4 linked regions of the Notamacropus eugenii genome follow. The protein of the gene in region 3 purifies or fractionates together with the protein of the main gene of each other region. This does not show direct contact. Links are inferred from orthologs where the notes say so. Each region holds a gene or a part of one and is shown on either strand. Other genes may lie near its edges.

Region 1 (6,985 bases), about 200 Mb from region 3:
CCCTAAAGTCCCCTCCCTTCAGACTCTGTGATATGGTGTGAGCCAACTTCCTCCAGCCAAGGTAGCCACCGCACTAGCCCCTGAACACAGGTCTTCTTCCTCACAGGTCTGCCCACTCTCTAAGTACTCCTTCAGCTCAGCTCAAAGACCAACCCCAAAGTCTTTTCTACCCCATAGCTGGATGTGACCTCTGCCTCACTCACACAGACCCCAACCTTTCCCTCTAAGGACCCCAAAACTCCATGAGGAAGAGCCTGTATTTCCTTCCTTTCTTCCTGCCAGGTCCAAACAGTCCCCTACCTTTCTTTCCATCCGCTCCTCCCTCGTCTCTGCTCGGGTTGGAGGAGGGGCATCACGGGGGTCCTAAGGACAAAAAAAGGGGTTAAGAAGTAGCAGGACTAAACTGAGACACCACAAAGATTTGCCAAGGAAGTTACCTTTGTTACCACCCTATCCCCAAACCCCCTTCCTGCTTTAGCACCACTCACCTGGTCTGACCACCACCTTTTCCCTCTCTCCCCCCAACTCTGCTCAGCTGTGAAGCAAGCTTGCCACACTGGTATTCTAAGTTTCCTACCAGCTCTGACATACTACTCTCTATAATTCTACTTTCAATCACAGGGCATCCTAGTGGAGAGGGATAGACCTGGAGTCAAAAAAACTTCAATTCACGTCTGGTATCAGACGCTATCTGTATGACAGTGGGCAAGTCACTTCAACTCTTCCGGCCTTGTTTCTTCATCTGTCAAACAGAATAATAAGACCACCTACATCCCTGGGTTGTTGTGACAATCAAATGAGATAAATTTTGTAAAGATGTGTGCCAACCCTAAAGTGCATTAGAAATCCTAGTGACTGTTAGTAAGGGACCTCGGTGATCAGTATGCCCATAACTACAGCAACCCCTAGTGGCTGCCTAGCCTCTGCTCCCTGGTGAGCCTCCAGAGGCCTTACTTTTGTTCTGACCCAGTGCTCGGGGTTCTGCCCTCCCTTCTGTCATGAGGGAGGGAGTCCTTCATATGCCGGGAGAAACCCACCACATTCCCTAAATCTTCACTTCTCATGAACTCGGGCAGAGGACAAGGCGACCTGAATCACCTGCCTAAGTGGCTGACCCCAAGACTAGGCCACAGAGCTCCACAGGGGTGGGGGTGGTTACCTAACACCTCGCTCTGGACTGTTTTCTACAACACCTACTTCTCATCTTGTGCATATGAAAGTCAATTCAAGTCCTGGTGCTTGTCCTCCACAACATTTCATCTTACTTTGGCCAGCCCCAATAGTCTAGCTTATCAAGATTTTTTTTCTGGTTCCTGATTCTGTCACCCAATACATTCACTACCTCCTAGCTCTGTGTCACCTGCAAACATGGTTAGCAATGCACCAACAGAAATGATTGAATCCCTCACTGGTGAAGATTCTCTCCAAGGGGCCCCTACTGAAGGCCTCCTTCCAGGATCAAAAAGAATTCCTCTGCACTACCCTTGGGGGCTGGTATTCAGCAAGTGCTGACCACATACAAGTGCATTCATTTCAAGAGCACCTCGTGCCACCTTTAGCAGGAGAATTACAGAAGAGACTCTCACCAAATGCTCTGCTGAAATCTAAGTGAACTAGACCTACAGCACTCTCTAAACCGCCACATTCTTAAGGCTGTAACAAAGGGAAGAGGGGTTTTCTTGTCTGTCCTCAGCAAAAGCAAACTCAGGGGTCTCAGCTGTTTGCTAACCATCCCTCTGGTCACATTCCACAGCAGTGAAGAGAAGTCAGCCTCCCTGGCACCCAGCTCTCTGCCCATCCTCTGCCCTTTGCCAGTCCTACAAAACTCCTCGGCGTAAACTTGAGGCATTCCCTCAGATCTTCCAAACATCACTACCAGAAGGGGCCGAGCCCCCTCACTCCACAACGGAAGCACCCAGCCTGCTGATGCCCACGGAGCTGGAATGGACCAGCTGAGCCCAATTCTTCCAAAGGAACCCAGTGATCTGACTGCCCCCAAGGGGATTCCTGCCGCTGCCTGGGTCTGGGCCCAGTCCTGGAAAGGGGTGGTGGGAGTACTCACCTCAAACTCCCGGATGTAGGGGGCAATGCCGCAGTAGGGCTGGTTGTGGTGCTTCTCATGGGGCAGCTTTTCCAGGGGGGGCAGGTAGGGGATCGGGTCTCGAGGAGCAAAGAGGGCCAAGAGGTTGGGAGGCAAGAACTGCGTCATGATGCCGGGTGTACAGGGTCTGGAGGGAGGAGATGGCGGTCACAAGTCTGGGGGACAAAGGCACCTGGCCTCCACCTCCCTTCCCCGCTGGGCCCAGCCTCCGGGGGTACGCAGGGACCCTCAGTGACAGGCCCCCCGGGCCCACCTCCCACGAGGGGCTTTCCCGGGGTTCTAGGGGGCCCAACGTGGGCAACAACGACAACGAGGGTGAGAGCAGGGCCTCGGCGCCGCAAAGGGCTCTGGGTAAAGGAGGGGGCTCCTGCGACATAGGGGGACGCGGGTGAGGAGGGCGGGGAAGGGGCTGGCGGGCCGAGATCCGTGAGGAGGGGGTCTGGGCAGAAGTCCCGACGGGCACAGGGCACCCCGGGTACAAGGGGAGGGTCCCAGAGGATTCAGGGGGCAAGGGGGAGGGTCCCCGACGGCCGTGAGGCATTGTGGGTGAAGGAGGTGCGGGATGTACCGGCTGGCGCAAAGACGTATGGGTAGCGAGAGGGGTCCCGGAGGCCGCAGGGAGTTATGGGTAAGGGGGGGACAAGCGGGTGCAGAATGGTGCGGGTGGGGGGGGTGCCCCCGGAGGACGCAGGGAGTTGTGGGTAAGGGGGGGGGGGTACCGGCGGGCGCAGGGAGTTGTGGGTAACCAGCGGGGCCCCGGCCGCCAGGCCGGCCTACTGCACTTACCGGCCGCGCGGCGGCGGCGGCCCCCTCGGCCGGGCGGGGCTCCCGGGGAGGGCGGCGGCAGCAAGAGCGGCGGCGGCGGCTCGTCGTCGTCCTCCTGGAGCTCGGGGGCCTCGTGGCGCGTCGGGGCCGAGGCCGGGGGCGGCGGCGGGGCCGGCAGCGCTGTCGGCTCCGGGGCGCTCGCTCCGTCACTCCGTCACTCTGCCCGTCCGTCCGGTCACGGCTCACACAGGCACCAGCGCGGCCCGGCGATGAGAGACGCACCGACCAAGGGAGGCGGGTCTCGCGAGAACTTGGCGCGAGCGCGGGGCCGACGGGAGGCGGGGCCACGCCGAGATCCTTGCGCGCCCGCGAACCAGTACGCACGCGCAGAATCGACTGGGGCGGGGAGGGCTGCCGGGGAAGAGTCCAGCGCGCACGCGCCGATCGTCCTCCGCTCGCCCTTTTCCTTCCCCGTCCCGGCCAACGTTGTCAGGGCGCATGCGCCTGCTGCTTTCTCCTTCGCCCTCTTTCGTACTCGCTCAACCGCCGCCTTCCGCGAGCTGGGTGAATCACACCTTTCTTCGCAACCAGAAGTGTCCTTTCACCAAGAAAAGAGTCCTCCACGTGACACACTCATCCAGTACAGTCCAGCCCCGCTTTACAGAAAGAAAGGGTCACGTTCCCCGGAGGGCGGGGCCGCGATCCGTCCGGAACGACGAAACTAAAGCCTGTGCAGCCTGGGACACCACAAGGGCGCCCTCTGGGCGTTAGGGAGCTGGGGTCCCTTTCAGAGCCCCGGGCTGCCCCGTGGCGGGGCCGGGCTGCTCTCTGCGGGACCTCCAGCTCCGGAGAGCCCCAGGCCCCCCAGGGTCGCGGCCCCAGAACGTTGCCAGGGGGTAGCCTGGGGGAAAGAGGCCCCCTGGTCCTTGGGTCTCTAGCCAAGCATCCCCTGATGATCCCAGAACTCCAGCAGAGCTGCTCTCCCTCCCTGGGCTGCCCCGGATGTCCTGGGCATAAGGGCCTCCAGAGCTCCAGAACTTCACAGGCTTTCCTCACGCCCCAGGGGATGGTGGGAGTCAATCAAAGTGTTCTCACCTAGTGGAGACAGCAGACACGGAGGATCTCTCCTTTTCTTTCCCAAAGAGGTTTATTTCCAAGTAAAAGCAAGAGCACAGTAGGGATTCCTCCGAAGCCCCCCAGGCACGCTCTGCCCAGGCCCACGCTTGGCACAGCTCTCACCCAGCACGGATCTGACCAAGCTCACGGCCAGATGCGGTGTGCCTTCCCAGGACCGCAGGGCAGGCTGGAGGCTTCTCATGGGCTGCGTTTTGTGAGCCCTTTCTGTGCTAGGTGCTGGGCTGTGAAGAGTAATACTGCTATCTGACGTTCATGTATCACTAACGTTGGCCAAGTCCTCCACTTTGGACTAACTCGATCACAGCAGTCCTGTGAAGGAGGTGCTCTTGTTCCAGTTTTTCAGATGAGGAAACTGAGGCACAGGGAAGTGAAATGATGTCCGGGCTCACCCAGTCAATCAGCATTTATCAAGGGCTTGCTTGTCAGTCGTCTGGTCGTTTTTTCAGTCGTGTCTGGCTCTACATGACCCCGTTTAGGTTTCGTTGTTTTGGAGGAGGTTTTTGGCGAAGATATTGGACTGGTTTGCCATTTCCTTCTAGAACTCATTTTACAGAAGAAGGAACTGAGGCAAACAGGGTGAAGTGACTTGCCCAGGGTCACACAACTAGTAAGCGTCTGAGATGTGAACTCAAGAGGACAGTTCTGACTCCAGGCCCAGCACTCTGTGCACTGTGGCGCCACCTAGCGGCCTCTATTATGTACTAAAAGTTTTTTAAAAAGCGTGCTCTCAAAGATCTCACAGTCTAAAAGGGGAGACAAGATGCAAACAATTATGTACAATCTGGTGACAATATACTGGAGACAACCAACAGAGAGGAAGTCAATAGAATGAAGAAGGAACAGCAGAGGCTTCTTATGGAAACCAAGAAAGGGGAGTCAATGAAAATGCCTGAAGTCGGTTGGTGGAGGCAGGGATAGAGTGTCTTGTTAGAACACAGCAAGGAGGCTGGTTTTACTGGATCAAAGAGTGGATGGGAGGTGATATGAGATATAAAAGACTGGAAAAACTGGGGAAGAGGTGCTTCTGAAGGGCTTTAACTACTAACTAGAATATTTTATATTTGGTCCTAGAAGTAATAGCAAACCACAGGAGTTTGTGTAGTAGGCTGGTATCATGGTCAGACCTGTGCTTTTTAGGACTGGACTGGGGAAAGATCTGAAGGAGAAAGACCAGTCAGCAGGCTATTTCAAGAGGCCAGGTATAAAATATTTATAGCAGTTCTTTTAATGGTGGCAAAGAATTGAACTTTGAGGGGACATCTATCAATTGGGGAATGGCTGAACAAGTTTTTGTATGTGGTTGTGATGGAATACTACTTACTGTGCTATAAGAAATGATGAGCAAGATGCTCTCAGAAAAACCTGGAAAGACTTATATGATGCAAAGGGAAATGAGCAGAACCGGGAGAACATTGTATATAGTTAATACCTATATTGTATGATGATCCACTGTGAATGCCTTAGCTATTCTCAGCAACAAAATGATCCAAGACAATTCTGAAGGACTTAGGATGAAAGATGCTCTCTACCTCCAGAGAAAGAATTGGTGGGGGTCTGAATGCAGATCAAAGCATACTTTTTCTTTTCTTTTTTTTTTTGTTTGCTTTGGTCTGTGTAGTCTTATACAACATGACTAACATGGAAATATGTTTTGCGTGATCTATATCAAATTCTTTGACTTCTCAATGGAAGGAGGGGGAGAGAAAGACTTTGGAGCTCAGAATTTTATAGCCAATGTTAAAAAACATTTTTTTAAATGTAATTGGGAGGAAAATAAAATATTTTTTAAAAGAGTCCAGGTATAAGGGGCTGAGGGTCTGTACCACAGTGGTGTCAGAATGAAGTGGGAAGGAGGCCTGTACTACAAGAGAGGTGGTGAAGGTAAAATTGACAGATCATGGCAACACATGGTTATGGGGGAAGACATCAAGATTAAGGAAGTGAGGATAATACCACAGTTGAAAGCCTGGCTGACTGGGAGAATGATGGTACCTGGACAGTTACAGAGGAGTTAGGAAGAGAAGATGGAGAGGGTGGGAAATAATGAATTCCATTTTGGATATCTTGAGGGTAAGGTGTCTCCAGGACTCCAGTTTGACATGTACATTGGCAATTGGAGCTGGGAGACTGGAGGGCAACAGAGAAGTTAGGACTGAAAAAGTTGATTTGGGAATCAGCAGAATAAAGATGATAATTCAATCTATGGGATCTGATGAAGTCTCCAAGTGAAATAGGATAAAGCAGGAAGAAAAAAGAGCCTAGGACAGAGCCCTGTGGGAGATAACAGGTTAATCTCCTAGATGAAGCTTCAGCAAAAGAAATCAAGAAGGAGCCATCAGCTAGGAGAACCAGGTTAGAGCAGTGTCAGGAAGCTAATCTGCATTAGCAATGATTGCCAAGAAGTCAAGGAACATGAGGTTTGAGAAAAGGCCATTCTTTTGGATGAGGTTGGCAGCCAAGCTTCTGTTCACAGACCTTTGAGAAGGACCCGGGACCTTTTGAAACTGCCCATGGCTCAAACTGTTGGGATGGTTTTCCTGATATTAAGTCTAAATTTGCCTCTTTAGAATGTCTACCCATTGTTCCTGGTTCTGCCCTCAAGGATCAAACAGTAAGTCCTGTCCTTGTTGGACACAAGAGCCCACAATTGCAGAGTAATTCAAATACCATATGCCAGCTGAATCTTCTCTAAGGTTCAACATCCTAGGTTACTTTGACCAATGCTTATGTTGGACTCAATATTAACTCACCATCCTGGCTAACCTCCTTCATACCTCTCCAGCTTATCTATGTCCTTGTTAAATCGTAGTACCCAGAAGCGAACCTAGTACTCAGATGAGGTCTGACAAGGGCAAAGGACAGTGGGACTGTCACCTTCCTATTCCTGAAATCTACAACTCTCTTAAGTTATAAGATCACAAGAAGTTTTTTATCCATATTGCCCAGCTGACTCACATCACACTTGCAATCCATTAACCCCCA
Region 2 (7,917 bases), on a different chromosome or scaffold from region 3:
CCCAACGAATTTGCCAAAACAATCTTTCTAAATCAAAGACCTAACCATGTCACTTCATTGTTCAAAACACTCACTGTCCAAATCATTTGCTCTTTGCACCTAGGGGTAAAATTCAAACTCCTTAGCCTGGCATTTAAAACCTTCATTACCTCAGTCCAATCTGTCTTCCCAGACAATTCATATTTCTCCTTTGTGCACTCTATGTTCCAACCAAATTGGAAGACTAGCTGTTTATTCCCCAAATTTAACATATTATCCATTATATTTGTGTAAATCATTCCTCATTCCTGGATTACACTGTCCTCATCTCCACATCTCAAAATCCATACTACTGAGTTTAAGTGAATGACCTCTCAGATCATTTTCCATGCCTATGAGATTAGTGAAATGTATAACCTTCCTTCCAAGACTCAGTTGAGGTCCCATTTCCTACACAAACATCCCTACCCCTCTTCTCTCCTCAAATTACCTTGTGTCTACTTATCTGTTAACATGATGAATCTGCTCTTCATATCTCCCAAGCAGAATATAAACTCTTTTGCACTACCTTTACTGGGTCAACTTCATTGACTCCCTGTTGCTTCTGGGATCCTCTAGCATTTAAAGCTCATCCCACCTGAGCCAGTTTCTGGTCTTCTTCCACATTACTCCCCTCCAAACACACTGCTGGCCAATTTCCTATACTTCACAAGACACCTCCACTTTCCCAAGTTTGCACTAGCTGGAATGTACTCCATTCTCAACACCACTCCCCCCAATTCCTAGCTCTCTTCAAGACCCACCTTCTACATGAAATGTCTAGGTTGTTCTCATCCTCTCATCCCCCTCCTTCACACACTCTCCCCGTTTTCTTCCTCCCTAACTTACATTATATGAATTTTGCATATATTCTTTATTGTTATATTATTAACATTATTATATTTCCAGTCACACATGTCTTTTCTAAAAAGTTCATTGACAGCAAGCACCACTCCATTTTTGCCTCTCAATCCCCACAAATTAGCATAAGTTCCTTACACTTAGCTGGCATATCAAAGCTTATGCACTGAGGACAGGGGAATACTCCATTTCTGCCTTTGTGTTTCCAAAATCAAGCAAGTGACTACATGCTAAGTGAATACTAACTAAATTGGAAAAAAAAAATTAGCCTTTTCCATCTTTTACTCCCTCCCCCATGTCCAAAAAGCAACATTAACAAGGACACACACAAAAAAGTTCAGCAATAAGTTCCAAACGTGGAAATAAAGGATGTTAAATTTGTTTTTAAAATGTCTATTTAGACTACCAATTGAATTGTCAAGAATACAGTGAAATTATGTTCTTTCTTGGAGATACTTAAGGAACGGAATGGTAGAAGATGGGTCTAGATGACCTACTGAATTCTCTCGGGGAGCTTAGATTATCTTGCAATATGACCTTTTAAAAACTCAAAATGTCAAGATAATGTTTAAAAAACCTTCATTGATTATTTTTCTGTTGAAAGAAGAGTCCCCTCCCACATTAACAACTACTTGATATTACCATGTTTTATTCATATTACTTCATCCTACTGTGGCAGTCAGGTCCAGGAGCTGGTGTAGTGGAAAGAGGAGACAGAGTCAGCAGATCTAGCCTCTAGTCTCAGCTCTGCCACTAACTAGCTGCATGATGTTGGGCAAGGCACTTGCCTCTCTGGGCCTCTGTTTCCTCATCTGTAAAATGAAGAGGTTGGACTAGATGATGTCTAAGCTCCCTTCCAAGTCTAAAATCCTAAGATTCTAAGAAAACAAGCCCAGGAGAGAAGCACTTTTTGGCTTTTTTTTTTTGTCCACCTCACACTTTGCCCAAAATCTCTCCATTATAAATTTACATTACAACCACTTCAGAACCAGTCTTCTTATAGTTGTATGCATGTTATCTCCCCCATCAGACTGTAAGTTGCCAAAGATCAGGGGCTGTCTTTTGCCTTTCTCTGTACCCCCAGGGCTTAGCACAGTGCCTGGCACATGGTAGGCACTTAATATCGACTGACACCTTTATGTATACGCATACTTATTTGCCTTAAGTATTTAAAGATGTCACACTAGACTCCAGACCAAAGAAAGGGAAGGAGAAGAGAGGAGATATGGAGGGAGAGGAAACGAAAAAAAGGGGTTTTTTGGGGGGGGCGAGGGAGGTCAAACCTCAGGACATTTTGGAGAATGGCAGGTGCCCAGAATGAATGGCAGGCAGAGTGCAGTTTAAAGGGCAGAACTCTGCCAATTCAAAATCAACCCTGAGGGCTCACACACGGCCCTGCTGAGTAACACTAGGCGTCCACGGGGGAGCGAGGAGGGGGAGGCGGGCCGGGAGTGGGGGTCTGGAAGGAGGAGAGGGCAGGATGGGGGTGGGGCTCAGGTCCGTGGCTGAGCAAGGCAGGCCGTTGGGAGCTGCGGGCACACACTCTGCAAGGGCGTGGGGGGGGCAAGCGGAGGGGCTGGGGTGGGACGGGCGGGGGGTGGGGTGCCTGCCCACCCACCTCCTCGTGGCAGGGCAGCCGGGCCCCGGAGCGGCGGGGCCGGGCAGCGCCAGGCCAGAGGGGCTGCAAAGCCCTGCCGGGAAGCTTGGGGTCTCCACGGGGGCTGCCTGGCCCGAGCCGGAGCCGCTGGCTTAAGGCGGTAGAGGCGGAGACGTCCTCAAGCCTGGTCCCCGTCTACCTCTCCTGTCCCCGGGCCCTTTCCGACACTCGCCGCCGCCCGCCTTCCTGCCTCCCTTCCCGGGCCGGGCCCAGCCCGCCTCTCCCCGCTCTGCTCCCCTCCCCTTCCCTTCCGTGCGCTCCGCGAAGCCCACTCACCCGCCGCTGAGAAAATGGTACCGTCTTTGCGGCCTCTAGGGCTCCGGATTACGAGTGGCCGCAGCCGGTCCCGGAGTTTCTGCGCGCCGTTCGCCCGTGTGATTGATACCGAGGCGCCTGCCTGCTCGCATAGGCCGCAGAGCCAGCCGCGCTGCGCGGGGTGCTCTCGGACGTCCTCCGCTAGGCCGGCGTGCACTGCGGCCCGAAAGAATTGGAGGCGGGAACCATAGAGAGAGCGCCTTCAAGAGTCGCCTCCGTTGAGCGACGCCTCACACGCAGGAGGCGGATAATCATAGAGAAGGCTGGGAAGGCTAGAAAGGCCCGGATCGAGGGGGCGGTAACTTCCGTCGCTCGCCGCCATCTTTGCTTGGGGCCGATTGACGTTTGCGACGCCTTGACGCCATCTTGAGGTCAAGGTGGCCGAAGGGATGAGTTGCCTGCCGAAGGAGCCTCCTACTACGCATGACATTAGGTCGTCGAGCATTTGGACGAAGCCCGGACTCTCTTTTCGTAAACAGGGACTCTCTACGCAGGAGGGGTTGCTGATAGCCCCCGAGGTTGGACTCCAAGAAGCCAGCGATCCCAACCGGAAGTTGGAATTTTGGCAACTTTCAGATGTTTCTTCTACAAGAATTGCCCCAGATTGTGGTTGGTGAAAAAAAGGAAGAAAAGGAAAAACCAGGAGAGAGGACTTTAGTACCATCTGGGGATCAAAGCTGCAAGGGATTTTGGAGGCCCTGGTCAGCTGTGTAAGGCCTGTCAGGACAGAGGGCCATAGGGCCGGGTTCTGTTACCACAGGCCAGCCAAAATGCCAGACTCTGGTGCTGTCCCTTGTCACTTCTGAGTGAGCTCACTTGGGGTATTTTGGTGGAGAAGAGGGTCATGGGGGGAGGAGGGATTGGTAAGGGTTTGATCTGATTTGTGATTTCTACTGGGGCCCTCTCCCATTACAGAGAGACCCCAACCAGGGAGTTGCCTGGAAGACTGAAAGGTTCAATTTAATGTTCCCTGATTCAGAAGCTAATAAGTATTTGAAATGAAAGATCAATGTCTTCTACCACAAAGGTGATATTTGCATATCACTCAAAGTGAGAATGGGATAAGACCCGAAAGGGCCAGGGTCTCCCATTGCATCCTGGGCCATCTCCAGTCCTCCTGATGAATGTCAGGCCGCTGGACCCAGATGGCTCAGCAGAAGGAAGTGAGATTGGTGACCTTGCACAGCCCTCCCTTACTCAAATCAAAGTCAACTGCAAGTCATGTCATCATCTTGATGTCATGGTCCTCTTGGAGAAGGAAGGACAAACACAACAATTTGTATAAGATCTGGTAATCATTTGTTTCTCTTTTAGGATGTTCCCCTTGGTGGGGCTGTATCTAATCTTTATTGGCTTACTTAGAACTGGGATGTGAATTGTCCAACCCGTATTTAACACGAAATGGACTCTGCTCCTTAGGGCCCAGAGACAGAAGGATGAAGGAGGGGGAGCAGAGAATGGGAAACTAGAATTATTTTTAAATAATTGATTGTTAGGAAGTTTTTAACCCAACCTCCAGGTTTTCTGCTGACCTGTTGCTCCTAGTTCTTCTCTCCAGTGCCAATCAATTTTACAAACCTTAAAATACTTGAAGACAGTTTCTGTCATCCCTGACTCACAACCCAAATCTTCTTTTCTCCAGGATAAACATTCTTGTTTCTTTCACCTAATCTTCATGCCACACCATCACAAGACCCAGCACCCTTTATCATCGTGATTGATATTCATTTGGGCTTGGAAGAAGGAAGACATCTTTCTGAGTTCAAATCTGGCCTTAGACACTTACTATCTCTGTGACCCTGGACAAGTCACATCACCCTGTTTGCCTTATTTCCTCATCTCTAAAATGAACTGGAGAAGGAAATGGCAAATTACTCCAGTTTCTTTGTCAAGAAAACTCCAAATGGGGTCTTGAAGACTTGGACACTACTGAAACAACCAAACAAGAACAATTATTGCTTATACTTTTGATCTAATCCAATCCATCAAGCATTTACTAAGTATCTGCTAAATTCATGGCACTCATAGATGATAGGAATACAAAGATAAAACAAAAAGCAGTCCCTGATCTCAAGGAGTTTACATTCTGCTAGAAGAATACTAGTATTGATTATTTAATAATTTGATGAAGGATGTGATAAAGTTAAGGAGGGAGTACATTATAGGCATGGAAGACAGTTTGTACAAAGTTATGGAAATAGAAGATGAATGTTAAATTTGGGGAGTGATTAACAAATAAACCACTGGAACTTAGAATATGTGAAGAGGAATAATTTGGGACTTCAAATACCAATATAAAGAGTTTGCATTTAGAGACAAAGAAGAACCATTGATAGTTCTCGAAGATGGATTGATTAAAAAAAAAGATAACTGGGGCCAGACTTGTAATTTAGAAAAGTTATTTTGGCATCTTTCAAAATATTCTGTTCCTGTCTACTCTGGAACCTTGCTCCATTGATCAATCTCTTCCTCTACTAATTCCTTCCCTAATGCCTACAAACATGTTTAAATTTTCCTTGGCATAAAAAATCCTTTTCTTGACCTTGCCATTCTTCCAAGAAACTATGCTATATAACATAATCCCTCCTCTTCTCTGCTAATCTAGCAGAAAAAGTAATCTACACTCTACTTTCAGTTTTACCCTCTTCATCCATTTCCTCCCCATGCAGTCTGGCTTCCACCCCCAGTTTCTGTTGAAACTCCTTTCCAACATCAAAAGTGACATTTTATAAATAAATTTCACAGGTACAGGATAGAGAAGAGATGACAGCTTTGCAGTAGTTTCTCTGAAAAAGATCTGGGGATTATCATGGGCTACAAACTCAATATGGAGCCAGCAATGTAATGAGGCAACTAAAAAAAGTTAGTGCATTTTTGAGCTCCATGAGAGTAGGTTTTAGGAATAAGGATGTGATGGCCCTTCTATAGTCTGCCCTAGTGAGATCATATCTAGAATATTTTGTTCAGTTTTGGGTACCACTACTGAAGAAAGATAAAGATAAGTCAAGGAGCATACAGAGGGGGAATAAACAGGGTAAATGTCCTTAAGTATATGTTGTAGGAGGTTGGAAGAACTGAGAAAGTTGAGCCTGGAAAAAAGAAAACTCAAGTCGGGATATGATAGTCTTCAAGTATTTGAAAGACTGCCTTGTGGAAAAAGTATTAGATTTGTTCAGTTTGGCCTCAGAGGGCAGAATCAAAAAGAATGGGTGGAAGTTACCAGGGGGCAAATTTAGCTTAATGTTCTAACAATTAGAGCTTCCAAAAGTTGAGTGGGCTTCCTTGGAATGGTGCTAGATTCCCCCTCATTAGAATATTTCTGTAAAATACTGGATGACTCCTTGTCACATGTGCTTTAGGGGAGACTCCTTTTGAGTATGACCTGGACTAACTGGCTTCCAAGTTCCATTGCAACTCTAAATTCCATGAATTTCAGTGATTTTTTTTTTTTTGTCTTCTTCCTCTTTGACCTTTTTTTTTTTTTTTACAGCATTTGCTACTGTTGACTACTCTCTTCTTCTAGATCAAGAGTTTTTAACCTTTTTTGTGTCATGAACCCCTCTGACAGTCCGGTGAAACCTATGGAACCCTCTTTAGAATGTTTTAAAATTCATAAAATGCATAGAATTACAAAGGAAATCAAATATTTTTAAATACAGTTATCAAAATAAAGCAATCCCATAGACCCTAAGTGAAGAATCTTTGTTCTAGATATTCTCTTGATTTTCATCCAGTTCTCCTTGTCTGATTGCTCCTTCATAGTCCTTCTTCGAACCCTACATGTGAATTCCCCAAAGCTCTAATTCCCTCTTCTCTATGATCTTTGTCTTTTGGCAATCAGTTTATCATTTTTATGCAAATGACTCCCAAATCTGCATCTCAAGTCCTAATCTAGCCCTTCTTACAAACTTCTTCCTACAAATCTCCACTTGGATATCCCATCAGCTCCTCACCCTCAACATTACAAAACGGAACTCACATTTCCTACCAGACCTATCCTTCCTAGAAACTTATCCATTATTATGGTGGTGCCACAATTCTTCGAGTCATCCATATTCAAAACCTGATTCCTCTTTGTCTTTTCTGTCTTCCTATTCTATAGGAAGTCAATTTTCTATATTGACTATTCTGTAGTTAATAATTTGCCAAATTTTGGAAGTAGTTCTATGGCACAGTAGATAGAGCAGTGGGCCTGGAGTCAGGAAGACCAGAGTTCAAATCTGGTGTCAGACATTTCCCAACTGTGTAACTCTGGGCAAGGCAATTAATTGGCCTGCCTCAGTTTCTTTAAATGTAAGTTGGTGATAATAATAGTATCTACCTCAAAAGATTGTTACGAGGATCAAATGAGTTAATATTTGTAAAAAGCATTTAGCACAGTGCCTTGCACATAGTAAGCAACAGCTACATAAATGCTCATTCCTTTCTTCTTCCCTGCCTTCGCATCTGCTACATGATCTACTCAAAACTGCCCTGGTAGTTTAGGCCCTCATCCCCTTTCCCCTGAATTATTGCAATCATTTCCCAATTGGGTTTTCCCTGTTTCAAGTCTCTTCCCCTCATGATCCTCCACATGGTTACCAAACTGATATTTCTGAAACATGCATCTGGCTGTATCATATACTCTAGCTCTCAGGAATATCCAGTGGCATAAAATATAAAACTCCTTAGTCTGCCTCCCATCTACCTTTCCAGTCTTAATTTATATTATTCCCTTTTACACATTCTCCATTCCAATGTAACTGGCCTGCTAACTGTTCCCTACATTCATTTCTTACCTCTCTATGTTTGCATAGTGATTTTCTTGTGTCGAGAATGTGCTGTCTTCAGCTTTCCTTGGTGAAATCCTAGCTTCCTCCAAAGCATTGCTGGGTCCCACCTTTCCTGCTTTCTCTCCCTCAGAAGTTGTTAGCACTCTCTCCTTTTTGAAATCACTTTATATTACTTGATATGTGTACTTTGTATTTATTTACTTATTTTTGTCTTTGTACCCTCATCCCAGGCACCTGCCCCATACTAAATGGTGTTTAATAAATGTTTGTTGAATTAAATTGAAAGACATGTCC
Region 3 (7,743 bases):
AAGAAGGATCACAGAGTTGTTTTTCCACCACCAAGAGAATTTTGAAACTTATGTTGTTCCTAGGTCAGAAGGCCAATGGCTCAGTTATTTAAAGAGATGCTACAGGCAAAGAGCCAGTCTCTTCGGCCAGATACTTCTGAATAAAGAGTTTTAAACCACTTACTGGTTTAACTATAGAAAAACTACACAGAAGAAAAGTATTTGTGATAAACCTTTCTATTCTTAATTTAAAATAAAAAAAAAAAGGGACTCTTTTTCCTTCCTGGCTGCTATGCAATTTCACTATGAACAATGATCTTTTAACAAATATCAAACTAAACAAAACTAACTAGAGAAAGATCATACTCAGCACCCTTGATTGCCTCCATGTGATATTACAATCTAGATTTCTGATGACTTTTCAATATCAAGACTCTTATGGAGAGAAACCAGCTACTTATATTTCACATAGCATCTAACAGACTTAAAGTATAAATATCAGTCACAATTACTGAATTTAGTTACTCTCCCTGATTAGAACACTACAGGGTCACTGAGTTAGCACTAATGAAGCTTTCTGATACAAATCACTCCTATTTACAATTTATACTAGAGAGAGAAGGGATAGTTCATCAATAGGAGTGAAGAAAATCAACAAGCACTTTCTTAATTCAAAATAAAAATGTCCTACAGAAAATTAGCAATGTGGAACAGGAAAATGCAAGAAGACTGTTCTGGTATCAAAAAATGCGATAACACTCAAATTCTAAGGCAAACACCTAAACAAAGTTGTTGATGTAGGTTTTCCTATTCTTATATACATTTACCTCAGTTGGGTAACCCACAAAAGACATGGTGAAATGAACAGAAAGTTTCTAGATTTGCAGCTAGGGCATAAGACAAAATTGACTTGCCTGAAAAGATCCAATCAGTCAACTAAAAACATAACCTTTAAGCTACCAAAAAACTGCTATTCAAAATGGAAATGATGAGCATTTTTATGTGGACGACAGCCTCAATACAGCAAAAACTCTGGTTACGGACAGAATTCGACATTTCATTTCACTTGAAACCTTTGAATGTGTTTTTGGGGAAATATGAATCTTAGACTCATTTACTAACACTTATCCAAGCTTTAAATTATTTATCACAGTAATGCTACAAAGCAAATATAATTTTAAAAACTGTCTTACTTGTCCCATTGGAGGACCTCCCATAGGGGGCATCATTTGCTGCATCATTCCATGAGGTACAGGTTGCATATTTCCTCTCTGACCCATAGGGTGCATTCCCATGGGTGGATAATGCATGCCAGGGTGTCCCATCTGAAAAACAGTGTTAGTGAAGAAAACATCAATTAACAATAAAGTCTTCCCACCCCCAAAGCATCAAGAATTGTTATCACTGAAGTAAGGTGGTAAGGTATTTGGCAACACTGAGGAACTTGAGACTTAACCATTTATAAAATATGGACTTTATAAGGGAGGGAAGAGTGAGGAGAAAAACTGCCTGTTTATGGATAATCAAAAATGACGAAAAAGAATTAGTATCTTAGTAAGTTACTGCGCTAAAATATAGTATGCCAAGGAAACGAAAAACTCATTTTAAGACCAATTCTGGGGAAGAAAAGAACTCATTATTATTCTGCCTATGTATCAAGGCCGGCTTTTAAATTTTAGACTAAATTATTTTGTCTTACAAATAAATGACGGGTTATTTTAAAAGGTTCAATGAATACTACAAAAGCTACCTGTGGTTGTTTTTCTAATGTCAAACCTGTCATTTCCCCGAAAAATTCTTACTAAGGTAGATCAAAACATTCTGTCTCTCTGAAAAGCTACTTCATACCACTTTCAGCTCTAAAAGTAAATAACTACTGCTGGTTGGCCATTCGGCAAGCTATGTACAAAAAGTGCCATAGAAAGAGTACCTGCTTTACTAAGTTTATAAAATCCAAATAATTTATTTAGGCCACAAAGGTGCCCAATCACACAAAGTAATTACACGCTTAGCAACTCAACCCAGCTTTGCTCACTCTTTCCTTTCTTTCATTACAAGTCACATTCCTCCCTTCACTATCCTGGCCAAATCAGGCCTGCACCCCAAAGCAGACTTCTGCTGCCACCACCCAGCCACCAGTTCTGTCCAGAGCTCCCTCCTCCATCTTCGCCACAGTAATACCCACCTCCCAGGGACCCACAGCCTTTCCTTTGTGCTACTCCGCCCTCCATTTCCCTCCGTCAGAGCCAGATCCCGCCACCTCAGGCCTTCTCCTCCGTCCACCTTTTTTTTTCTTCCCCACAGGGAGAAGGCTTCCTGTTTCTTTTTTTCATTGTGCCGCTTTTCCCCCGCCCCACCGCTCCCTTACCGAGGGCCGTCTCCTCAGGTAGCCGTCCGCAGAGGCCCATGGGCTGGAGCAGAGGCTCGAGCTGGACAGTCTCCGCTCCCCGTTCCCGGGACCCCGCGGTGGAGGGCGGTTCTCCATTTCACTCACCATGAGGCCTCCACGCTCGACTCCCGTCCCCGGCCTCATCGTCGGGCTGAGGCTGCTCCGGCGGCGGCCGCTGCCGCTACACATTCCAACAAGGAGCGATCTGAGTGGCTGGCGCCCGCTGGGGCCAAAGGGTAGAGGCTGCCCGGAGCTGCGGGGCGGGATCAGCGGGGCCAATAAGCTGACTGGCTTCCCCGCCGTCCAATCAGAGCGCGCAGCTTGCACGCAGCTCTGCGGCGATTCGCCCCCGGCCTCGGCCTCGCTCGGCGTCGCCTGCATGGAGGGGGGGAGGGGGACGGAGGAAGTTTCTGCGCCGAGTCCCCCGCCGGGAAAACTCCACCAACTTCCCCCGGGGAAGAGAAGAGTACGTAGGCCCCAGCCTCCCGGGCCTAACAGCCACCTCACCCCGTAGGGGGAGGGGCAGTGGGGGGGCTGCCGCCTTTACCCCCCACCCGAGTTACGCACGCCCCACAAACCTGAGGCCGCCGGGGAGCCAGGAGGGGGGGAAGCAGCTTCTAGCGTTAGCGGTGGCTGGGACAGGATGCGCGCGCGCGCCGCTCGAGGTTGGGCGGGGGAGGGGGGAGGAAAAGGGGAGGGAGGAGGGGAAGAGGAGGGGGCTCGTGGACGCGGAAGGCACCGGGTGAGAAAGCGCGAGACTGGCGAAGCACGCGATGGCCGGGGTGAAGAGCGGCGAGCGTGACGCGGCACTGCGCGAGAAGGGAAGTGTGGAAGTGGGGAGGTTGAAAGCCGAATAGGGGGATGGGAAGAAGCAGTTTAGGCAAGAGAAGAGACAGGCCGTCGCGCGCTAAAGATGCCGTGTAGGCGGAAGACGAGAAAGCCCCCTCGCGTGCCTAAGAGGGGACGACGGAAGAAAAAAGCAGACGGACTAGGGAAGGGGTTTCAGAGGGGTGCGGACGGCAGCAATGGCGGCGGGCGCTAGGACCGAGCGCCCGAATTTGCGGCTTAGGAGTGGCCTGCTGGGCCGTGAGGCACGCGGCTTGCCTGGAGGCTACGCGGTGGTGGAGGCGGAGGTCTGGGGGCTGGGACCCTACACCGCCGGTGGGGGGAGGGGGGGACGCTGTCCTGTTGGAGATGTCTGCTTTCCCCTCCCGTCCTCTTCTCCGTTTACCCCTGCTTCCCTCTGCCTTCCTCCTCCCTCAGTCCCCAGCGTGGGGTTCATTTCTCGTTGCACTTTTCCCGGGCGCTCTTGCGGCCCCCTCCCCATGCTTGGGGCGCTCCCCCCAGGTCTTTTTTTGGTAGGCCCCGGAGAGCCTTCGGGGCGCTAATTGGCTAATGGGGGGAAGGGGGAGGGAGGAAATCCCTGAGCTTCCGGGTTCCGTTGTCCGTTTTCCCGCCATGTCGTTCTTGGCTAGTGGGAGCCGATCGATTCGCCAGCGTGGACTCGGGCCTCCGGCCTCCCTGGTCCTGCCTGCCAACGCCTCCCCCTCCCAGGTTGGGGGTAGCTGGGGGGAAGGCGAGGATGATGACGAGGACGGAGGGGTGGACGAAGTGGTTCGGGACCTGCGAGCGGAGCTCTTGGCGGACACGCCGCCGCCTCAGCTGCAGAAACAGAATGGGGTGACCGTGAGAGTCCCGGAGGCCGCCCGAACTCCCCGTGGCCAGCGGTGGCCGGTGCGGGTCCTGTCGGTGGTCTGTTCTCTTCTTTTCGCCGCCCTCCTTGCCTTCCTGCTAGCTATCGTCTACATGGTCGTGAAAGGTACTGGGACTGCCCGGGGAGCGTGGGGGCGCCGAGCAATGCCGGGCCGACGGCCGAGTGGAGGGGCGTGGGACCTCGGCTTGTCCGTTAGTCAGCTAGTACTTGTCCAGGCACTGTGCAAAGTGCTGCTGGTGACAGAGGCAGAAGGCAGCCCCTGCCTTCAAGGACCTCTGTCTAATACTGGGAAAACTAGATGGAAACGATTCAAGTCTGTACAGGTTAAAATGGGGGACGGTCTCAGAGGAAGGACTGGTAAAGGCTTGTTTGCGGAGGGCGAGTGGGGAGGTGGGGTCTTAATACTCGGATACCTTACCGACCCACTGGTTCAGTCATCTCAGTGTTCTATTCTTTGGGAACCCGCTTGGGATTTTCTTGGTTAAAATACTGGAGTGGTTTATCATTTCCTTCTCCAGCTCATTTTACGGAGGAGGAAACGGGCAGACCGGGTTAAGACATCTCTGGGGAGAGTCTGAGGCCAGATTTGATAGAGCCCCCCAGATACTCACCAACTACTGTCCCAGAGCGATTAAGCATACTGATTTCATTGTATGGAAGCTGCTATTAGCTCAGTTTATTACTTGTCATTGCCATTTTAAAAAATCTTTTTTTATCATCTTTTATGGAAGTCGGAAAACCAATGATATGGAAGTGCTGGAGTTAGGGGCTCTTTTAAAAATGGCAATTCATTGGCTTATACTTCCAACAAATACTTTTCAAGCACTTTCATAGTAAAATTAGTAGTGGAGATCCAGCAGTAGTTAGATGGATCACATCTCACCCTCCACTTCATAATCACCTGCCTCCCTAGGATTGTTTTCCAGTCAGATATACTAACCCTTCTTCATCCTTTACTGCCTAACAATATGATTCCTTCCATAGCTATGCACCCTCCCAGTCTCTCCCTTTTGGTCTTATTTGGGCTCTAGACGGTTATAGCCTAATTAAAACCTGAGCACTATATTAGCTGGTAGTACAACATCAGTTGAAACTGCCCTTCTCTCTACCCCCAGCTGCTGCCGTATTTCAGGCTTTCATCATCCCCTGCTGTTGCAGTAACTTCCTAATTGATTTCTTGTCTCAGATCTCTTTTCTCCAGTCTGTTCTACACACAGTTGCCAAAGGGATTATTATCCTGAAATGCTGGTCTGACCATGCATATCACTCCTGTACTTGGTCCTATAGTTCTGTATTATAGGATCAGATATTATTTCATCATATTGTGAAAATTTTGTAATATAGATAATTAGTACAGTAGCACCTTTATAACTTATAAATAAGTAAATTTGTGTATTAGGGGTAGGTGCTCAAAAATTTTTTTATTGATAAGAGATACAGAATCAAAAAAGTTTGGAAACACTAGTCTGAATTTAGACCATTTATCTTATCAATGTCTGGAGTTTTGTTTTTTTTTTTTTAAATAAAAGGAAGGTAGTACCTACCTACCTTAGTTATGTGAAACTTTACAAGGATTATGTGTACATATAGTCAAGTCAATAAGTATTTACTTTTTGCTATGTCCTAGGGATAAATATGTGGCCAAAAACAGCCCCTTTCCTCAAAGAGCTCATAGTCTGATGGAGGAGACAACATACAAACAACTGTATGAACAGATTGTATACAGGATAAATAGGAAATAATCTCAGAAGGAAGGCTCTAAAGTTAGGACTAGTAAAGGCTTCTTACAGAAGGTGGGACTTGAGGAAAGTCAGGATGCAGAGATAAAATAAAAATGAAAAAAAATCTTTGTTAGGAACTCAATCCAGAATCCACTTTGTCCCCCCTCATTTTGCATGATTCCTAATGGAAGGCATTGCTACCTAGTGTCCATGGTAGGTTTCATACAGAAAAGACAATTTATCATAATGTTTGAAGGATTAAGTTCCACCCCCAAATACTCCTCTGATGTTTCCTGTCAGTGCTGTTTCCTCTTAATGAATTTCCTTATTTGTGGTTAGGGTATTATTATCCCCCTTACAAGAGCTCACAATCACTCTAAACTCATCTTCCTTATCCAGTCAGTTGGCTAGTCATGAAAATTTTTTTGCCCCCCCAAGCTCTTGCATCTGTTACTTGTAATTTTCTTTCCATTGCAGCCATTTGCCTCTTATCTGGCCTATTACAAAGCCTCCTTATTGGTCTTCTAAGCGTCTCACCTCTCAGTCTTTCACAGAGCTGCCAAAGTGATATTAATGAAGCATAGGTCTGACATGTTCCACAAAAGATCATATGCCTTTGAGATACAAAAATACTTCACCTTACCTTCCAGATTTATTACATGTCCTATCTTTCAAAACTCTTTAAATTAGGCAAACTGGCCTCCTTACTGTCCTTTACGTGTGACGTTCTGTCTGTGCTTTTGAAGCTTTCTACTCCTTTACCTCTTAGAAGCCTTAACCTTGCTTAACACTTAACTCAGGAATTCCTACTCAAGGTTTTTTCCTGATCACAACTCTCCCTCATCCTCCAATATTACCTTGTACTTTGTATGTCTTTGTATGTATACCTATTTCACTTACTAGAATATAAGCTTGAGGGCTGGTTTTTTTTATTTTTAAAGTCCAGGTTCCTTTCACAAAGTTGATGAATAAGTGCTTTCTGATTTATTAGGAACTAAATTTTTTTACCAATCTAAACCTCCTTTTGTATTTACAGAATTGCATGCTGAGAATTTGAAGACTGAAGATGGTGTAGAAACTGGTTTATTAGGTATGAACAAAATAGGTAATTGGCTTACCAGATTTTTTGCTTTCTTCCCAGATGTGAAATTTATTGTGCAAATCAAAGTCAGGGGATTAACACCAAATGATAAAACATGTTCTATGAAGGAGTAATAGCATTCAGTCCTAACTAACGTATTTCCTTTCTTTGGTATTTACATCGTATTTGTAAGGTGACTTACACTCATCATGTAACAGTAAATGAATACATTTCTCCTTCCCTAACAAAATAGAAAATTTTATTACTATTCTGTCACTGGATGAGAAGTAGAAAAAGTACTCATTATACTTTTGTATATTTGGATAGAAGTATTTGAGAGAGTAGGTTAAGTTATCAAAGTCTACAACTATTCCCATTTTCCCTAAGGAGTTACTGGCTTTTTTTTCTGCTCTAGCTTCACAGGATCTTTCTAGGCCCTTACTAGATGGCTCTTAACTAGCCGCAAGGAAGTTGATTGCCTTAAACTGTCCTAAATGAGATATGGATAATTTGATTTAGAGCCAAGACAGGGTTAATATTTAAAAAAAAAAAAAAAAACCAAAACACCAACAGCTAGGAAAATCACACCTTTCCCTCCAAATCATAGAAATAAACACATTTTCAATATGTTATCATATAGACAAAGATTACCTCAGCAAGCACAGATTATAAGGTGTCTATTCTTCTGAACCTCAACCTTGTTGGTATTGTATGCAAAACAAAAAAAAGATGACACTTAGTATCATGTAGGAAATTTAGGATCTAAATGCTTACCAGATCTTGAAAAAAAATTTTTTAATCCTTCCCAGAATCATATCTCGGCCTGTTTCCTAGGATTTCTTTTGGCTCTGAGCTAAAC
Region 4 (7,711 bases), on a different chromosome or scaffold from region 3:
ACTATGTCATGAAGGGCTTTGAATGCCAAATATAAGTGTTTACTATTTGATACATTAGGGAATCACTGGAGTTTGATCACTTTGGTGAATGAACAGACTAGAGCAGAGAAAGATTTGAGGTAGGTAGACCCACCAGTACCTACTGTAATAGTTCAGGCATGAGGTGATAAGGGAAGGGGCTTAATCAAGAGATGCTGAAGAGGTGAAATGAACAAGAGATGGTACAGCAGGTAAAACGGACAAAAGATGGTGCAGGGGGTAAAATGGACAAGAGATGGTGGGGGGTGGGGGGGAATGGACAAGAAAAGGCGCAGAGGTAAAATGGACAAGAGGTGGTGAATTGGACAGGCCTTAGTACTAGCTTGGTTGGGGGGTGAGAGGGCCAGGCATGTTGGTGACAGGCCCCCATCTTATTTTACCTGGAGCAGGTAGGGGAGAAAATCAAAGCCTAGATCTGAAGGGGGCAGCCCAGGTCTGGGTTGCTGGGGCTCAAGCCTTGGATGTGGTCCCCAGTCTCCTGAGGGCATCAGCAGGCTCCTCACACATCCCTCTAGATCAGTGACCTTGAGGCTCATCTTTTGGCTCAAGTGAGGTCAGAACCATGGGAAGTTAGGTAAGGAGAAGCCTGTCAGACTTGTTCAATAAGAGGGAAATATGTAGGGATCTATGTGTGGCTCAAGGAGATCAGGAGATCCAAAGGAGCCCATCCCCCAACATGTTCCATGAGCACCTGGAAGGAAGGTCTGGGTGGGCTGGGAAGGATCTGCACCTCCAAGAAGACCCACATGGAGGGATTACCCAGTACGGTCTAGATCTACACAGGGGAGGCATTTGGAGTCACTGGTTTCTGGAGTCTTAAGAAGAGGGAGACCTAGCGCTGTCATCGCAGGGAACCCTGGCAGGAACCCAGGGGTTCACGCCACAGCCCCAATTTTCACACCCTCCCAGCTGGGGAATGAGGGATGAGTGCAGACTTTCAGATAAGTAGTTTAGGCCTTCCTGGGTCCCTTCCATTGGTGACAGTGCCTGGAGGTTACCCTCCTCAAGACAGACAGAAACCAGCTTCATTTCCCTCAGTAGTGTGGTTGGTTCAACGTCAGGACGCCTTTGAGTTTCACTGCAGCTCTCGGCTGGGGGTGGGGGTGGGGGGTCTCCTACCTTTCTTCATCATGTCTCGGTCCAAGGCCACATTCCTTTGGGCAAGGTTGACTTCGGCTCGGAAGTGAAAGCGCTTGGCTCGCTGCTCTTTCTTCTGGATAGCTTCCTAAAGAGCACGAGGAACCCCAGAGAATGAGATGGGTCGAGGCCAAGGCGGAGGCTGAGACTCGGAGCCCCCCGGCCTCAGCCTCCCTGCCCCTCTGGTGGTGGGCCAGGCAGGGAGCATGAAGTCTGACCCTTGACCTCATCTCCCACGCTATTCGGAAACTCCCTCCTCTCCACTCCCAAGTGCAGGAGGCCAGGCCCCTGGATGCTCGGGTCTGGACAGTGGGCCATGTCGCCTCCTGGGTCAGTGAGGAGGACAGGAGTCCCCACAGGCTGGTGGGGGAGGGGGCAGAGCTTTCAGGGAGCAGGGGCCTAGGTGGCCTGAGTTATCAGAGGACAGTCAAAGAGCCCAGGACTTGGTCCTGAGCAAAAGGCAAGACCTGGACACCCACCTACCGATTACTTATCCCATGCCAAGCCCCAGCCGGACACTAGTAAGTGACTGACAGAGGAAAAGGTGAGGTAGGTTCTGAATGTCACAGCATCAGGTGCACAGGCCCCATGACACTGAGGCCAAGGCAGGCCAGCAGAGCTGGAGGAAGAGGAAGGGAAGAGGGGAGGGGGAGAGGGCAAGGGGGCAGGGGGAGAGGGGGAGGAGGGAGGGAGGGGAAGGGGAAGGGGAAAGGGGAGGGGGAGGGGGAGGAAGGAGAGGGAGGGGAGAGGGCAAGGGAGGAGGGGAGAGGGAAAGGAGGGAGGGGGAAGGGAGAAGGGGAAGAGGGGGAGGGAAGAGGGGGAGGAGGGGAGAGGGCAAGGGGGGAGCCCAGTTCTCTCAGGCCAGGGACCATCGGCACCAGCCTGGGCTCACCCATGGGGGCTGCTTTACAGGCGGGGAGAGCCCCGAGGAAGGAGAACCCTTGGGGCCAGGAGGGTGGGGAAGCCCCTCCCCTTTCCAAACCCCGCGGGGGGGGGGGGGGGGGGGAAGGGAACAAGCACTGATTAAGCACCTACTGTGTGCCAGGACCTGGGCACGTGCTTCCTTAAGCTTCCTCACCTGATCTGTCTTTCAGGAGGAGATATCAAGGTAGAGGCAGGTACCTGACTGACCTGGTCCCCCAGCTGGCCAGTGGGGCAGAATGGGAACTCGAGTGCCCGTTGTGGCACCCCCTCCATCTCCCGCCTCCGAACCTTTGCCTGGAAAGCTCTGCCTTCTCCTCCTCCTCGCCCCCCTCCCCGCCGCCCGCCCGGCCTCCTCCAGGAAGCCTTCCCCAGCCCTTGGCCGCTCCAACGTAAGCGGGTGTAGACAGACTCCGGCTGGGCTCCCCATCCCCAACAGAAAGAGGTGCATTGTGGGAGGGGGCAAAAGCAACAAAGTCTCCGCCCGGGAGCCCCAGCCAGGTGAGCCGGCTCCAGGGCTCCTCCCTACCTTGGAGGTGACGTCGATGCCCGTGATGAAGCTCCCCGCCTTGTTCTCGTAGCGGCGGCTCGTGTCCTAGAACGAGACGGGCGGTGAGGGGGACCCCGACCCCGGCCCTCGCTCCCTGCCGCCCAACGGCCCCGGCGCGCCCGGCGGCAGGCTCTGAGGGGCGCACCCACCCGGAGGCCGGACCCCCGGCGTCCTACCGGCAGCAGCGAGCGCCGCACTGGCACGGCCTCCAGCTCGCCCTCCTCCACCTCCATGGGCTCGGGCTCGCCCCGCTCGGGGCCCGGCCCCAGCAGCCCCAGGTGGGGCCCCGCCGCCGCCGCTGCCGCCGCCTCGGCCTTCACCGACACCCGCAGGCCGCGCACGGCCGCCATGGCCCCGCCGCCGCCTCCGTCCGCCCGCCCTCCTGGCGTGCCAGCGAGAGCGCGTGCGCGCCGCCCAGGGCGCCGCCGTACGTACGCACGCGCACCAGCGAGAGGCAGCGGGCCGCCCAGAGCGCCGCCGACGTACCATCGAGATGCGGCCCGCCCGGCCTAGAGCGTCCCAGAGGACGCCCCCGCCCCCGCCCGCTTCGGGGGCGGAGCCGTTGTCATAGTTACGGCTTCCCGGCTCCGGCGCCTGCGCCTGTCTCCCTCCGGAGTAAGCGGAGGGAGGGAGGGCGGGGCGGCCTGGGGGCATTCGGCATCTGCCGCGGCCCCTCGGCCTCCTCCGCCTCGCAGGGCCTCCTCCCCCCAGGGCCTCCTCCCCCCACCTCCACTGGGGCCTTCTGGAGACAGTCCTTTAGTCCTAAGTGGCCGGAGGCTCGGGCACCTCGGGTGCCCCCACGGCCTGGACTGTGTTTCCTTAAGCATTTATGAAGCCCTTGCTGTATGCTCCACGCCTTGCCCTCGAGGGTCTGACGGTCTGACGGGACTGCCACACCCAGAAGGCTTGGGGGCTGACGCAAGTCCCCAAATTTGTGATCCTTTAAAAGCATGCCCACAAGTGGACAGGCCTCCAGAAGAGCCCCAGAGCCACTGAAGGGATGGAGAGACGGCTCAGGGTTTGGGGTTGAGTCTGAGCTGGGGCTGGGGGCTGGGGGCAGGGAAGCTGTGCGGGCCGTGGAGCCTTGGCACAAGGAGGGTAAGACCAGGGGCATCACAGCCCTGGGGATGGGCACTGCCCAGGAGTGTGGCTCAGGAAGGGATGGGTGGGGCCCGCTTGGTGAAGTGGACTGACTTGGGTGGCTCCTGGCGGCCCACCTCAAGGTCCTGGAGGGGGGCTCCGTCTGCGGCTCCTCTTGGTCCGGTGCGGGCGGACCCCGCTCCCTCTTGCGTATTGTCTCCCCCCGCTCGATGGTCGGGCGCTGTCTTTCTTATTTGTAGCGCTTAGCACACAGTAGGCGCCTAATACGTGCTTATTGAATTGGATCGCTGAATAAGTGTTTGAAGCCTACCTCGACTCTGTTAATCCATCCCCCTAAAACCCAAGTGTCCTTTCTGCCGCCAGCCTCTCCCCGGTCCGGTCCAGCCACTCCCAGCTGCCTCCGCCGGCTCTGACACTGCCCCCACCAGGGGGCTCCGCATGGCAGAAAATCAGATAACACCCAACCGCCGATCGTGGCAACGGAGGGACCGAGCCGCGGGGGGCTGCCTCGTGACTGTTCCGCTGGCCCAAACGGCCTCCGGGCCGCTACCCAGGACCATCCCCAGCCTCCCTTCGGCTTCTCTCCGCGGCTGCCCTGTTGTTAATGCTCCCCTTGCGTTCCCATCTCGGTTCTCCTGTTGGCGGCTGTCATCTCTCCAGCTTCGCTCTCATCATTCCTCTCTTGCCCTTTGTGGCCAGACTCTGAAAAGGCGTCTACACTGGCTGCCTCCGCTTCCTCTCCCCACTCTCTTAACCCCTGAACGATCCAGCTTCCAGTCTCATCCTTGCACCAGACCACTCTCCCCAGTCACCTCTTCGCTGCCAAAGCCTCCCCTCCCTCCCTCTACTGAGAAGGGAAGCCGTATTTCAATTGTGCGTGTGAACCCATGCAAACCGTATGTCCAGATTAGCCATATCTTTTAAAAAATGAAGTGAGAAAATGATGCTTCAATTTGCACTCCGAGTTGGTCAGTTCTTTGGGGGTGGATCGCATTTTTTCATCATGAATCCTTTACTTCAACAAGCCCACTGCAGCCTTGGACACTGTAGATCACTCCTTCCTCCTGGACACTCCCTTCTCTCAGTTTTCAGGACTCCCGCTTCTCCTCCTACCCATCTGACTGCTTCTTCTCAGTCTCCTTGGCTGGATTCTCATCCAGGTCAACCATGGGAGATCCATGAGGCTCTGTCCTCGGGCCTCTTCTCTTCTCCCCCTTTCCTACTTCGGTTGGAAACCTCATCAGCTCTCTTGGATTCAATGGCCATCTCTGTGCTGATAGGTTTCCAATCTGCCCAGGTCTCTCTGCTCTACTCCAATCTTACACCTCCAATAACCTTCCAGACATCTCAAACTGGACATCCAGCAGACATATAAAACCCAAAATGTTGGAGAAAACTTCTCTTTCTCCTTAAACCCTCCCCTCCTCCTACATTCCTTATGACTGTCCTCCTAGTCCCTCAAGGTCACAACCCAGGATTCAACATGGAGTCACTTTTTCTAACCCCCTAGATCCAATGTAGTGCCAAGGCCTGCCAATTTCACCTCTAGAGCATCTCTGGACGGTCTTTCCGATAGCCCCTTTTCTCTCCTCTGACACTGTCCCTCATCTCCTCACACTTGGTCTATTGCAGTAGCCTAGGGATGGCTAATGAAATAGAACCCATTGCCTCCTGAGGCAGCCAATTCCACTTTTGGATAGCCCTGATTGTTAGAAATTTTTAAAAACTCAAATCAAGTTTAAATTAGCCTCTCTTTAGCTTCTACTTTTTGTATTCTAAGTCTAGTTCCTTTCTCATGTGAGAGCCCTTCAAATAATTGGGTATTGCTCTCATCCTCCCCTCCCCCAACTCCAGTCCATCTTCCATTCAGCCACCAGTCATCTTCCTAAAGCACAGTTCTGATCCTGACACCCCCTTCTCCATAAACTTCAGGGACTCCCTACTGCCTCTGGGTGACATGTAAAATAAGTAAAATAGACATTTATGATAAAGATAAAATTAGATATCTCTAAAAATAAATGTGTTTTACATATTATAGAAAATCTTCTGTTTGACAAAGTCCTTCACAACCTGGTCCCTTCTTACCTTTTCAGACTGCCTGGCAATGTCTTCTGTGGTCTGGTGACTTTGGCCTCCTGGTTGTTCCTCACATGAGATGATTCATTTCCAAACTCCAGATGTGTTCAATGGCCATCCCCATACTTGGAATGCTCTCCTTCCTCTACACCCCCCTGGCTTCCTACTACTGGAAGCCTTTCCCCATCCCTCTGACACTAGTGTCTTCCCACCGGTGACTGTCTTCACTTCATCTTGTATGGACATGAGTTTTTGTGCATTGTTTCCCCTTTGGACTGTGAGCTCCTTGAGGCCAGTGACTGTCTTCTGCCCTGCTTTGTATATCCAGTGCTTGGCCCAGCCCTGACACATAATCCTTACTTAGTAAATGCTCATTGACTGACTGACTTCCTTCATTAATGTTTCCCACCAATTGACCATTTTGGCAACTGAAAATTCTGATGGAATTTTACAAGTGAGTTGACCCCAGAATCGTAGAGCTGTTTTAGGATTCGGTGGCTTTAATAGCCACCAGCTTTAATGAATGGTTTAAAATAGCACCAAAAATTTGGGATACCCTGTAGCCTAAAGCAGCACTGCCTTGGCTTGCTCAGTCTCTGATTGGCAAGTAGACCAAGCATTTGATGACAATGGTGATTTTTAGGGTGTCTTTGGTCTCCTTAATTTATTCTTGTTAAATATCTGTACAAAATTAATCCTTTTAATTTTATATGTATAGCCATCCCCACTTCTCTGTCTCTCTCTGTCTGTCTCTCTCTGTCTCTATCACTGTCTATCTCTGCGTGTGTGTCTGTCTCTTTTTCTCTGTCCCTGTCTGCCCAATCCTGTCTTTCTGTTTCTCTTTCTGTGTCTGTCTCTGTTTCTTTCCCTCTCTCTCTCTGTTTGTCTCTGTCTCCTTGTATCTCTGTCAGTCTGTTTCTCTTCCTCTCTCTTTCTCTGTTTTTCTGTCTCTGTCCTTGTGTCTATTTCTCTGTTTTTGTTTCTCTCTCTCTCACTGTGTGTCTGTATCTTTCTGGGGCTCTCTCTGTCTTTCTGTGTTTCTGTCTCCATCTGTCTATCTCTTTCTCTCCCTCTTTCTGTCTTTTTCTCTGTCTCTATCTGTGTGTGTCTCTATCTGTTTGTCTCACTGTGTGTCTCTCTCTCCTTGTCTCCATCTATCTGTTTCTTTCCCTTTCTCTTTCTCTGTTTGTCTCTGTCTGTCTCTCCCCCCTCTATTTGTCTCTGTCCCTTTTTCTGTCTCTATCTCCATGTATGTCCCTGTCTCTCTTTCTGTGTTTGTCTCTATCTCTCTCACTGTCTCTATCTTTTGGTATCTCTCTCTGTCTCTGTCTGTCTCTGTTTCTCTCCCTCTCTTTCTGTATGTCTCTGTCTCTATCTGTGTGTGTCCCTGTATCTCTGTCTTTATCTCTGTCTCTCTGTTTCTCCCTCTCTCTCTGTCTCCCCCCCATTTGTCTCTGTTTCTCTTTCTGTCTCTCTCTGTCTGTCTCTGTTTGTCTCTGTTTCTATCTGTGTTTGTCTCCCTCCTTCTGTGTTTGTCTTTGTCTGTCTGTCTTTGTCTCTCCCTTTCTTTCTAGTCTTTGTGTTCTCAAACTTGAGAATTCATGAATGCAGCGTTCAGTGAATGAGCATGTCCTGTCCTGGCTGCTGCCCTCCCATTCCTTGGGGGAGTCCACCCTAAGGATCTCTCCTCTCAGCCCGGGTGACTTCTCAGGTACCTGGTCCAAGGCAGCCATTTCCAGGTGCTGATTCCCTCCTTCCAGGCGGAGGCCTGCTGTCCTCTTGAAGCATCCTCTCCTGCTTGTGTCTGTGTATTGGTTATCCCCAGTGGATGGAAACCCAGAACAGCCAAAAGGTGTGAAGAGTCCAGACATCAATTCCCAGCTGGGG

The links.
Region 1: the proteins of PRPF40A (region 3) and SNRNP70 fractionate together in Homo sapiens (co-fractionation; 3 studies listed by BioGRID, with this or other methods). This does not show direct contact. The link is inferred for Notamacropus eugenii from reciprocal best matches to the Homo sapiens genes PRPF40A and SNRNP70.
Region 2: the proteins of PRPF40A (region 3) and RBM25 purify together in Homo sapiens (affinity purification with mass spectrometry; 5 studies listed by BioGRID and IntAct, with this or other methods). This does not show direct contact. The link is inferred for Notamacropus eugenii from reciprocal best matches to the Homo sapiens genes PRPF40A and RBM25.
Region 4: the proteins of PRPF40A (region 3) and NCBP3 purify together in Homo sapiens (affinity purification with mass spectrometry; 3 studies listed by BioGRID and IntAct, counting the BioPlex papers as one, with this or other methods). This does not show direct contact. The link is inferred for Notamacropus eugenii from reciprocal best matches to the Homo sapiens genes PRPF40A and NCBP3.

Annotation. Positions count from the first base shown.
Region 1 is NC_092876.1:12,373,675-12,380,659, reverse strand, and holds the start of SNRNP70 (U1 small nuclear ribonucleoprotein 70 kDa), read right to left. Parts: upstream 3,018-6,985; 5' UTR 2,888-3,017; intron 2,229-2,887; 5' UTR 2,210-2,228; coding exon 2,063-2,209; intron 364-2,062; coding exon 301-363; intron 1-300. UniProt on the Homo sapiens protein: Component of the spliceosomal U1 snRNP, which is essential for recognition of the pre-mRNA 5' splice-site and the subsequent assembly of the spliceosome. SNRNP70 binds to the loop I region of U1-snRNA.
Region 2 is NC_092872.1:293,561,456-293,569,372, forward strand, and holds the start of RBM25 (RNA-binding protein 25), read right to left. Parts: upstream 3,010-7,917; 5' UTR 2,813-3,009; intron 1,692-2,812; 5' UTR 1,525-1,691; coding exon 1,522-1,524; intron 1-1,521. UniProt on the Homo sapiens protein: RNA-binding protein that acts as a regulator of alternative pre-mRNA splicing. Involved in apoptotic cell death through the regulation of the apoptotic factor BCL2L1 isoform expression.
Region 3 is NC_092876.1:210,021,956-210,029,698, forward strand, and holds the start of PRPF40A (pre-mRNA-processing factor 40 homolog A), read right to left. Parts: upstream 3,009-7,743; 5' UTR 2,750-3,008; coding exon 2,348-2,749; intron 1,305-2,347; coding exon 1,173-1,304; intron 1-1,172. Other genes in the region: ARL6IP6 (ADP-ribosylation factor-like protein 6-interacting protein 6), read left to right, coding at 3,764-4,187, 6,840-6,908.
Region 4 is NC_092877.1:388,341,877-388,349,587, forward strand, and holds the start of NCBP3 (nuclear cap-binding protein subunit 3), read right to left. Parts: upstream 3,013-7,711; 5' UTR 2,998-3,012; coding exon 2,797-2,997; intron 2,693-2,796; coding exon 2,627-2,692; intron 1,265-2,626; coding exon 1,159-1,264; intron 1-1,158. UniProt on the Homo sapiens protein: Associates with NCBP1/CBP80 to form an alternative cap-binding complex (CBC) which plays a key role in mRNA export. NCBP3 serves as adapter protein linking the capped RNAs (m7GpppG-capped RNA) to NCBP1/CBP80.